Linked DNA regions of Sus scrofa. The protein of the gene in region 3 purifies or fractionates together with the protein of the main gene of each other region. This does not show direct contact. Links are inferred from orthologs where the notes say so. Each region holds a gene or a part of one and is shown on either strand. Other genes may lie near its edges. The genes, in order: FBP1, PPM1A and TRIM47.

Region 1 (3,646 bases), on a different chromosome or scaffold from region 3:
CTCAAAAGTTTTCTTATTGGAGTTCCCGTCATGGAGCAGCGGAAATGAATCTGACTAGGAACCATGAGGTTGTGGGTTCGATCCCTGGCCTCACTCAGTGGGTTAAGGACCTGGCATTGCCATGAGCTGTGTTGTAGGTCTCAGATGCGGCTCGGATCTGGCGTTGCTGTGGCTCTGGCGTAGGCCAGTGGCAGCAGCTCCGATTCGACCCCTAGCATGGGAACCTCCATATGCCGTGGGTGCTGCCCTAAAAAGACAAGGAAAAAAAAAGTTTTTTTATTATTATATCATTGTTGTCATTGTGTAAAATCTAGATATACTCTTTCATTCACTTTTTCAATAATCATTTGCTGTTGAGTCACCACGGCGCTCCAAGTATTGTGCTAGATGCTGAGATACAAAGAAGAATATAATTCATTCTCTGCCCTCAAGAAGCAATCAGATTAATCGGTTCCAATGCATGAATCAGTGGTGGGAACTGCGAGCAGTTTATTTGTTTATTTATTTATTTATCTTTTTAGGGCCATACCCGTGGTATATGCAGGTTCCCAGGCTAGGGGTTGAATTGGAGCTGTAGCTGCTAGCCTAGCCTACGCCACAGCCACAGCAATGCAGGATCCGAGCCACATCTGCGACCTACACCACAGCTCAAGGCAATGCTGGGTCCTTAACCCACTGGGTGAGGCCAGGGATCGAAACTGCATCCTCATGGATATTCATTGGGCTTGTTACCACTGAGCTACGATGGGAACTCCAGCGAACAGTTTAGATTGGCAGGAGAGTTGGTTGTGAAGGTTGGGCATTGGATGGATGGATGGAGGTGACGCAAAAGAGGTAGTTAATGGAAGCCAGACTTTGAAGTGCTTTGAATATGACAATAAAAAGGAGTGGAGATGAGTCAGAATCTTTGAGTGTCTCCCATGTATGAGTGCACAGGAGAGCTGGTAACGACATGGACTGTGGTCGTAGCATGGACAAGAGGGCAGGCTGTCTGTGAAATGAGGATTAATGGTTCAGGCAGGATTCCTAGGAATCCAGCTTGGCTGAGTAAGCAGAGCGAGGAAGGAAAAAAACCTGCTCCATTCAACCCCTTAGTAACAGAGAAGCAGACCCACCCTTTTCTCAGGTTCTACTATTATGGCGTTTTTATCTTCTTCTGACACGAGAACGCAGGTGGCAAAAGATGACTTTAACACGTTAATAACCAGGTCATTGGAGAGGACATCCAACTTCTTCACTTGATCACCTGTCACGTTTGTGGAGCCAGCAATTCCATAGCTAGGAGGATGAAAAGCAAAAAATTATCAGCCATGACCACCAGAATAGGTAGATGTACCTAGAAACCCAGTAAACCCCATTTATTGGGATTTAGAAGAAAGGAGAGAAGACACGTGGTTTGAGAGAAATAGAATGAGAAGAACGAAATAGAAGAATCCCTCTGGATTGGCTCCTTCAGGAAGTATTGCCATTCACTGTCCAGTACCTGTCATGGTACCCAGAACACCTTTGTGGTTAAATCCAAGTTTCTCAATCTTTTTTTTTCCATTATGGTCCCGAAGGAGACTTATTTATTTTTATTTTTATTTTTGTCTTTTTGCCATTTTCTTGGGATGCTCCCGTGGCATATGGAGGTTCCCAGGCTAGGGGTCGAATCGGAGCTGTAGCCGCCGGCCTACGCCAGAGCCACAGCAACGCAGGATCCAAGCCGTGTCTGCAACCTACACCACAACTCACAGCAACGCCGGATCCTTAACCCACTGAGCAAGGCCAGGGAACGAACCCACAACCTCATGGTTCCTAGTCGGATTCGTTAACCACTGCGCCACGAGGGGAACTTCTCCAAAGACTTTTTTAGACTTTTCTTTTCTCACACACTCCTCCACAAAATTTTAACTTAATTAAAATTTTTTCTTTTTGCTTTTTAGGGCCACATCTGTGGCATATGGAGGTTCCCAGGCTGGGGGTCAAATCAGAGCTGTAGCTGCCGCCTTACACCACAGCCACAGAAATGCAGGATCCAAGCTGTATCTGCGACCCACACCCCAGCTCATGGCAACGCCAGATCCTTAACCCACCGAGTGAGGCCAGGGAGCAAACCTGCATCCTCATGGATACTAGTCAGGTTCATAACCCACTGAGCCATAATGAGAATTCTAATTTTAATACTGCATGTAGAGTATATGTCTATTTATGCACTGTATGTGCCTATGTCTTAAAAGGTACATATAGGAGTTCCCGTCATGGCTCAGTGGTTAACAAATCCGACTAGGAACCATGAGGTTGCGGGTTCGATCCCTGGCCTTGCTCAGTGGGTTAAGGATCCGGCGTTGCTGTGAGTTGTGGTGTAGGTTGCAGACGCGGCTTGGATCTGGCGTTGCTATGGCTCTGGCGTAGGCCGGCGGCTATAGCTCTGATTAGACCCCTAGCCTGGGAACCTCCATATGCCACGGGAGCAGCCCTAGAAAAGGCAAAAGACCAAAAAAAAAGAAGGTACATACATACAAAAACCAATTTTTTCCCTGTGAGTTAATGCATAATGAAAGACACAGCAAGCAAGGGAACCTGGCTAGGAGATGGGGACTAAGCCAAGGGATCTATGGTTTTATAACTGAGAAGATCCTAAAAGAAAAAGAATTATTGACAGATCCTACCACCTCGTTTTATAGAGGTGGGACCTCACTCCCAGCCACCAGCAGACTTCTCTAAACTAGAGAAGCTGTGACAAGCTCACTTTGGCTTCCAGGCCAGGCTTCTCTTGGTGGCACCTCGCAGCCTCTGGTGGGAGTCCCAGGGGTCAGAGGGAGTGCCGAAGCCTGGAGTCTTTATTTTCAAGGTACCTGCAAGTCAGTAATGGCGAGTTCCCAGAATCTCAAGTCCAAGTTTGTTAGAATGAGGCAAGAGGAGGGTTATCATAGCCTGCAGTTGAATAGGAACACTGAAAGGAGAGGAGAGGAGTTCCCATCATGGTGCAGCAGAAATGAATCTGACTAGGAACCATGAGGTTGTGGGTTCAATCCCTGGCCTCACTCAGTGGGTTAAGGATCCAGCATTTCCATGAGCTGTGGTGTAGGTCACAGACAAGGCTCGGATCTGGCGTTGCTGTGGCTGTGGTGTAGGCCGGCAGCTATAGCTCTGATTAGACCCTTAGCCTGGGAACCTCCCTATGCCATAGGTGCTAAAAAGGAGAAAAAAAAAAAGAGAGAGGAGATGTCTTAGAGGAAGGTGCTTGGAACAAGATTAGACACCGGATGTGGGAAGGGAAAGAGTCAAAGCATTGAAGATACTGCCAAACAGCTCAGAGTGGGTGATCAGGGGCACCGTGGCACCCTGGGCTGAGATGGCTGGGAGCACTGGCCCGGGAATGGATTGCCATGACATTCACGGCTTCCACTCCTGAAGATGCATTTTCTCCAGACGTAACTTGCGTGTCTCTGGCTGGACACAACTGAACCAACAGCAGAAACAGTCCTAACCCATCTGGCCTGGCTCTCTCTAAGAGGTAAATCAATTTATCATCCAGCCCATTTTCCAGCATCACCTCTTTCGGCACCGTTCCCTTGCCCACCTGGAAAACAGCCCTCCTCCCAAAGCCCTTTCTTTTTTCTTTCTTTTTTTAATGGCCACACCTGCAGCATATGGAAGTTCC
Region 2 (3,646 bases), on a different chromosome or scaffold from region 3:
TTTCATAACGGATGAATAGTACCAAAAACTTATTCCTGAGAAGTATTGGTTCTAAGATGTTAATATACTAGGATAATAATTAAGATGACATAAAATCATTTTGCCTTAAAAAAAAAAAAAAAGTCTAGCTACCTTATACAAACAGGTGTCGACTACTTCATTGCAAACTTTCTCAAGGTCATCAGTGACTTCAAGTCTGGATCTTACAAAATCACAGAGCTCTTCATTTCCCATAACATCCCAAATACCATCACATGCAAGAATAATGAACTGATCATCTTCTTCAGATCTTTCAATATCATGGACTTCAGGCTCTGGTGAAACAAGCTGCTCGGTAGGACCTTTTCCATGGACACATTTGTAATCAAAGTCCCCAAGGGCCCTTGACACAGCCAAAGAGCCATTCACACGCTGAATCATCACAGAACCACCTGCATTCTGAATTCGTTCTTTTTCCAGCGGATTACTTGGTTTGTGATCTTGTGTGAAGAAGTGAACTTTCCTGTTCCTACAAAGTAAACCTCTCGAGTCTCCACAGTTAATGAAATAAGTATGCTGAGGAGATATTAAGACACCTACAGCTGTTGACCCACTTCTATCAGCACCATGTTTCTTCTCTGACATGACTCTCATGTGTTCATCAATTTCCAGAAAACCTGTTCTGATTCCATTCTTCACATTTTCCACAGAAGGTGCTCCTGCAGACCCTTTAAAATCCTGGTTATTGGTGATGTGATCTAACAAATGCTCACAGCAGTATTTGGCAACCTGAGAACCAGCATGCCCATCATATACAGCAAAGAATGACCATGTTTCAAGTCCACTTGGCAAACCAATCACAGCTGTATGTGCATCCTCCATTTCAACTCGCCAGCCTTGCATGCTGCTTAGCCCATATCGCAACCCATTACCCTGGCCTTGGGCGTTATGTTTTTCCATCTTTGGTTTGTCTAAAAATGCTCCCATTATGTCTTGATCCTCTAGGTCTGCAAAGGAAGAGAAACAGGAAAGTTAATAACTATCTTATAAACAAAATACATACACAACCCTTTTAAGAATGAAGGAAATAAAAAAAAAAAAAAGAAAGCTTTAAATAAGAATTCACAACTCTTGGAATAAGCAGACACTCATTATACTGTAGAACTGAAACCTGATCATTAACAAGAAAGAAATGGGGGAGAGGCTCAACAGGCATAGCTCAAAATGTCTTAACAGGTAAAGTATCTTGATAAAAGTAGTTTATCTTACACTTTCCCCAGAGAACAACCATTTAAGATAGAAAAGACTTGGCAATGGCCGTCAACTTATGAACCAAGTCAAGTGGTTAAGGATGCAATGAAAATGTGAATCTCTTAAGAGAATCTCAAAACTAATTTGTATGTGTATATTAGCCAAGAAAAGCCAAATGAATTCACAGGACATATCAAAAGCCTACTAATTTAGACATCTTAGTTTAACATTCAAGATTTCTCAAAGTTTGATTCCAAATGTCTAGTTTTATTCCTACTTATATGAACCCTCTGAAAAAGTAAAAAACAATATACTCACAACAATCAAAATTTGCATGATCCTTCAAGGCTTTGCTCATGTCAGTTCCCTTAACTGGAATCCCTTGCCTTCCTTCCCTACTTAGAAAAATAAGTACACCTATCCTTTAAAGTCTAGCTTCAATTCTACCTTTTCCATAGGTTTTTCAGCCTTTGAGAAAGCCAGTAAGTTATTATATTGCTTAAGTGGTCCAACCTCAACTTTCACATTGCAAAGCAATTATATATACATGTAATGAAGACTGTTATATGGAAATGTTAAACAATTAATCTACTGTAACCTAATCTAGTTGTAATAACATGTATCATTATTATGCTACTCCATAACCATTAGATATAAAAAGTTTTGATAAGAAGATCAAAAGGTCTAGCACAACACTATGGACAAGCTTGAAAGCTCAGCTAATCTAATCCTTTACCAATAATCAAAAGCAAAAACCCAGAGTTTCTGTCATGGCTCAGCAGTTAACGAACCCAACTAGCATCCATGAGAACATGGATTCAATCCCTGTCCTCACTCATTGGGTTAAGAATCTGGCGTTGCAATGAGCTGTGGTGTAGGTTGCAGACATGGCTTGGATCCTGCTTTGCTGTAACTGTGGTGTAGGCTGGCAGCTACTGCTCTGATTAGACCCCTAGCCTGGAAACCTCATGCTGTGTGTACATCTCTAAAAAGACAAAAAAAAAAAAAAAAAGCAAAAACCTCTGGTCTGGAATGAGCTTACACAAGGCAGGAAGATGGTCAGGATTTAGGTTGGTCTTTACTTGAGTAAGCCTAGTAATGTAGACTTGAGGGCCAAGTCATCACATGAGTCACAACTTAACGCAATCTGAAAGAAGGATAGAATGAGATTTAATGGAGGTAAAGGGGAGATAAGTAGGAGTGGGGAAAAGTACCTAAGTAAATCAGGATGCACTTAAGACACTAGGAGACTGATGACACTAGTGATGCTAAGCTCTGAGAAGAAGCTGGGAGAGAAAGAGGAAGAAGAAAAAAAACTCAGAAAGGAAACAGTTTCCTAGCAACCCCTCACCCCTTCTTTATCCTACCAGGACCAAACTATTATCCAGCAGAGAAGTCTGGCTGGCTGTGGTGTGATAAAACGGATCTCTCGCCTACTTGTCTGCCTCCTATGATAATTCCACTACTAGAGGGTAAATAATGAAAACTGGCCATGCTTCATTCCTTGTAGTGGTATTCATCAGATCACTTTTCTGACATCAAGTTGATTCACAATATGGCAAGGGTCTGTGTTTTGAGTTCCTGTGGCATAGGAGGTTAAGAACCCAATATTAGTGTTCATGAAGATGTGGGTTCAATCACTGACCTCACTCAGTGGGTTAAGGATCCAATGTTGCCACAAGCTGCAGTGTAGGTCACAGATATGACTCAGATCCAGTGTTGCTGTTGCTCTGGCATAGGCCTCAGCTGCAGCTGGCATAGGCCTCAGCTGCAGCTAAGATTCAACCCTCCTGGGAACTTCCATATGCCTTAGGTGCAGTCATTTAAAAAAACAAACAAAAAAACTAATGATACCTTAATAGCAGACAATGTTTAGGATGAATTCTAAATCATTCTGATGAGTGTTTTTATACAAGCATTACCTCAATTCACTCTCAACAACACTCTAAAGTGGGTAATAATACTATCTGCAATTTATAGATGAACTTTAATAAGACAAAAGAACATGGCCAACATCACTCAAAAGGTAAGTTTAGGAGAATAAGGACTCTAATTTAAGGCTGCCTGACTGTAACATACCATTTATATTAAGGCAATGGTCTCAATTATGGCTATACAAAAGAATTATCTATGGGCCTTTTGAAAAATGAAAATTAAAAAAATCAATTTCCACAGTAGGTGTGGAACCTAGGCATCTGTGTATCTGTGGTAAAGATTAAATGGAATGCCTAGATAGATAGTGGACAGAAGATGATTAAGCCATGGTGAGGTTAAGTCATCTGCTGAAGGTCAATGGCAAGTTGCCTCATCTCTGTACCTCAACTCCTTTAGCTAGGCTAAAGCAGTGGTTGGAGGTATTACAGTTAGCCCTCCATATCTTCAGGTTTCACATCTGTACTATGCTATCTTATAGAAG
Region 3 (4,136 bases):
CGTGTGGGGAGTCTGGGGAGGGGTGAGTCACTTGCGGGGGCACCCACCTTCCGTGCCTGGCTTCTGCAGCCCGTCCTCGTCACTGCCCAGCCCCTGCAGCTGCTCCCACTGGCTGGTGCAGGCCGAAGCCAGCACATCTCGCACCTTCCGGACGGCCTGGGACGACTTGGTGAAGCTGAGCTCCCTCGGGGGAGCGGGCCCAGGGCCGCACCCCTCCTCCAAGGCCAGCCTGAGTGCCAGGAGCTCCTGTACCAGACAAATGCCCATTAAGGCTCTGCTGGCTACAGCTCCTCCCGGTGGGGGTGAGACAGCTCTGCCAGGAGGCTGGCACGGCCTGGGGGACCAGGCATCCACTGCCTTCTCCTCCCTCCGCTTCTGCCCAACCCCTTCTGGGCCCTCTTTGGCTCACAGAGCTGCCCTCACCTGCAGGAAGCTGACCGAGTCGGCCTCGGGGACCTGACTGAGGTTGTGGCGGGCCTGGCTGAGACGGCTGCGCTGGTCCTCCTGGCGCCGCAGGTCGCCCTGGGAATGGCCCAGCATGGTGGCCTCCCCCTCGTCGATGAAGCCCAGCACCTCTGTCTGGAACCTCTGCAGGACGGCCGCGGCCTCGGCAAACAGCCGGCTCACCCTTTCTCGCTCTGCCACGGCTGCGCTCTGCACAAGACGACAGAGGGCAGCAATGAGGGCAAAGAACCCTGCTGTCTTGGCCATTCCTCCCAGACCCCTCCTTCCCACCCTGTCCTCTTGGGGGGACGAAGGCACCAGCCCGAGCCATCCTGGGTTTATGCCAGGTCTGGGAGATGCTCGCGCTCACTGGGGCCGGGCAAGGCCGGGAGCGCGGGCGTCTTTGGTGTGGTCGGTGTACCGCAAGCGCACACTGCCGGGCGGGAGCTGGCTACGAGAGTGGCCGGGACAGGGGTTAGGACAGGATCTGACCTTGATGAGGGCCACGGTGCGCCGGGACTGTGCAATGCCGGCGCCCAGCTCATCCATGCGGTCCTCCACGGCGCTCAGGACTTTGGGCTGCTCAGCCTGCAGGTGACATCCTTAAGGAGCACAGGGTCTGGCCGAGGTCACAGCCCTGCACTGGGGTCCCAGGTCTTACCAAGGGTGGTGGTGGGGGACCCAGGAGTGGTATCTGTGCCTAGGTGGAGCTGGGAGTGGCCGCGATGTTGTACAGTACGCCAGGGGGTGCCTCAAGCCCAGGCAGGTGCCATTCCCAAAGGGGAGGGCAGGCAGGCTGGCTGTGGGGTGTCTGCCTCTCCTCTCTGACTTGTGAGCAAGTACAGGGCCATCCATGCTCCTCAATATCGCTCACATTCATTTGGGAGCTTCCCTAGGTGGGGACGAGGCAGAGACTGAGAGAGGACAGGTGGCTGCACAAGCTGGCATTCAGCTGTTCTGAGAATCCCTGTTCTCAAAGAGTTTGTGTCCCCAGTCCAGGCCTGAAAAATGGGGATTCCGGGCAAACCCCCTGGGTCTTATGAGTCACTGCTCCAGGCAGGAGAGACGGAAAATCCCAAGGCCAGAAGTGCCAAGACCCGGCTGAGGGCCAAAGGAAACTGGGGGCGGAGGTAACGAGCTGGACAGCGCCCACATGCTCTCACTGCGGGCCGCCAGGTCAGCTGGACAGAGGGGTCTGTGTGCCGGTGGGTTCGGCCCCACCTCTGCAGCCCTCCTGTCGCCTGCCCCACCCACTGAAACCCTCACCGCAGCAAATCTGAGCTGGGACCGGCATGGGCACGAGCTCTCTGCTGCTTTAAACACCCCCCCCGCCCCCGGCCGCGCCCCAGCCTCGGGACCCCAGCCTGCTTTTCCCGTCCTTTTTGGGTTCACACTGGGTTCCTCCAACCCCCCCCCCCATTCTCATCCTGAGCGAAATGTCCCACAGCGATCAGATGACTGTCCAGGCTGGAAGGGACGGCAAAGGAGGAAATTAAGACCCAGCCTGGGAAGGATGGGGGTGATGGGGCCTCGGCTCTCGAGGCGGGTCACCCGTCCCGGCCGCCCGCCCGCCCGCTGCAACCGCATCCCACCTCCTGGAGCGCGCGCTCCTGCTCCAGCGGCACAAGCTCGTGGCCTCGGTGCTCCTGGGCGGCGCAGGTCTCGCAAAGGCACACGCGGTCCGCGCGGCAGTAGCGCTCCAGCGGCCGCAGGTGGCGCGGGCACAGGCTCTCCTCCAGCCGGCGCAGCGGCGGCACCAGGCGATGTCCGCGCAGCGCGGGGCTGCGCTCGTGCGGGCCCAGATGTGCGGGACAGAAGGAGGCGAGGCAGGAGAGGCAGGAGAGCGCGGCGGGCAGGGCGGCGCCCTCGGGGCACGCGTCGCAGCGCACCGGCTCTTCGCCCTCCGGCCACGGCTCGGGCGCGCTGGGCGCCGATGGCTCCGGAGCGCTGGGCGGCGAGCTGGGCGGCGCGCTGGGCGCCGCCGGCTCGGGCGCCAGGGCTGCGGCCGGGGTCGGCGCCGGGCCTGGGCCGGGCCCCGGGCCCGAGCCCTGACGGAGCTGCAGCAGCTCGGACAGCGTGTGGTTCTTGCGGAGCTGCAGGCCGTCGGGGAAAGGCTCCTGGCACAGCGGGCAGCGGGCCGTGCCTCCCGGCCCCCCGGCGCCCCCCGCGCCGCGGTGCGGCCAGAGCGCGCTCAGGCAGGCGAGACAGAAGTTGTGGCCGCAGGGCAGCGTCACTGGCTCCCGGAGCGGCTCCAAGCAGATGGGGCAGCTGAAGGGCCAGCCGCCGTCCATGGCTCCGCGGCCGCTGGGGCACCGCCTGGGCCGCTCCCGCCTGGGAGGGACCCAGACCGTCCGCGCCGCCGCCCCGCCCCCTGGACCGCAGCCAAGGGGCCCGCCCCCCGCTCGGCCCGCCCCCGGCGCCGCGGGCCCGCCTGCCCGCCCGGGCACCCGCCCCAGCCCAGGCCGCGCGGGACGGCCTCTGGGCCTCGTCTGACCCCCGAGGGCCTCCTGGACCAAAGAGGGAGAGGGAAGAGGGCGGGACGGGGACGGGACACACTGAAAGCAGGGAAGGAGTTCACCCCTCCACGACCCCCCAAACTCCCCCACCCCGTGCCTGCCAGGGGCTCCTAAGGCGCTGGGCGACCTCCGCCCCCCGCCCCGTGTCGCGCCTGCCCCTTGCGCTCCAGACCCCTGGGCAGCACTGTTAGCAAAGTTGCTGAGCTGCTGACGGCAGAGGAAAAAAAAGAACTGCTGACGTGCGCATGTTTTTGCCCCTTAGAGACTCTGTTTACCTCAGGCGGGGAACTTGCGCTCCTCCACAGCTGAAATGGGAAGCTGGGGTCATCCTCCACGTCCCTAGTCTCATCATTCAGTTCCGGTCCCTCCCGTGGTGTGGCCTGGGCTAGGGGTGTGGGTTCCCCAGTTGGAGGCTTTGCTGAGGCTCCTCCAACCATGCACTTAAACCAGTGGGGTTTATTGTATTTAAATTACCTCAACGATGTTAAGCTAAACCCAACAGAGTGGCAACAGAATAACTAAAGTAGCGCTGGGTTGCAACCCAAAGTAGAAAACAAACACTCATGAGTTCCTGCTGATAATAAATAAATCACTGGATAAATAAATGAGGGAGAGTAGACAAATTTCCCATTCAGAGGAATTCCAAACAGATTCTGTAAATACTCCAAGGTGGAGCAGGGCTTCCCAGTCCTTAAGTGCGGGCTGTGCATAGTGACTTCCTTCCAAAGAGAGCAGAAGGGTGACTTGACAGCGGCAAAACCTGGCCAAGACGACCTCAGCCAGTGGTCGCGGTCAACACCGACAGTCATCAGTCATGTCCGCAGTAGGCACCCTGGATGTGATATGAGCTTCCTCCCCCAAACCCATAACCCCACTCTAATTACTAGTAAAACCTCAGACAAATCCCAGTGGAGAGACAGACTACACAGCCCTTGACCAGAACCCCTGGAAACTGTCAAGTTCATCAAAAACCAAACAACAAGAAACGTCTGGAGTACCTGTTGCAGCTCAGTGGGTTAAGAACCCAACTAGTATCCATGAGGATTCAGATTCAATCCCTGGCCTGGCTCCGTGGGTTAAGGATCAGGCATTGCCATGAGCTGCAGGGTAGGTCACAGATGTGGCTGGGATCCAGCATTGCTGTGGCTGTGGCACAGGATCCAGCTGCAGCTCTGA

Evidence for each region.
Region 1: the proteins of TRIM47 (region 3) and FBP1 purify together in Homo sapiens (affinity purification with western blotting; 3 studies listed by BioGRID). This does not show direct contact. The link is inferred for Sus scrofa from reciprocal best matches to the Homo sapiens genes TRIM47 and FBP1.
Region 2: the proteins of TRIM47 (region 3) and PPM1A purify together in Homo sapiens (affinity purification with western blotting; 3 studies listed by BioGRID, with this or other methods). This does not show direct contact. The link is inferred for Sus scrofa from reciprocal best matches to the Homo sapiens genes TRIM47 and PPM1A.

What each region holds. Positions count from the first base shown.
Region 1 is NC_010452.4:27,601,980-27,605,625, reverse strand, and holds part of FBP1 (fructose-1,6-bisphosphatase 1), read right to left. Parts: intron 1,279-3,646; coding exon 1,116-1,278; intron 1-1,115. UniProt on the Homo sapiens protein: Catalyzes the hydrolysis of fructose 1,6-bisphosphate to fructose 6-phosphate in the presence of divalent cations, acting as a rate-limiting enzyme in gluconeogenesis. Plays a role in regulating glucose sensing and insulin secretion of pancreatic beta-cells.
Region 2 is NC_010443.5:189,277,097-189,280,742, reverse strand, and holds part of PPM1A (protein phosphatase 1A), read right to left. Parts: intron 1,568-3,646; exon of another isoform or gene 1,549-1,567; intron 987-1,548; coding exon 133-986; intron 1-132. UniProt on the Homo sapiens protein: Enzyme with a broad specificity. Negatively regulates TGF-beta signaling through dephosphorylating SMAD2 and SMAD3, resulting in their dissociation from SMAD4, nuclear export of the SMADs and termination of the TGF-beta-mediated signaling.
Region 3 is NC_010454.4:5,533,936-5,538,071, reverse strand, and holds the start of TRIM47 (tripartite motif-containing protein 47), read right to left. Parts: upstream 2,814-4,136; 5' UTR 2,736-2,813; coding exon 2,037-2,735; intron 1,033-2,036; coding exon 937-1,032; intron 655-936; coding exon 424-654; intron 247-423; coding exon 48-246; intron 1-47. UniProt on the Homo sapiens protein: E3 ubiquitin-protein ligase that mediates the ubiquitination and proteasomal degradation of CYLD.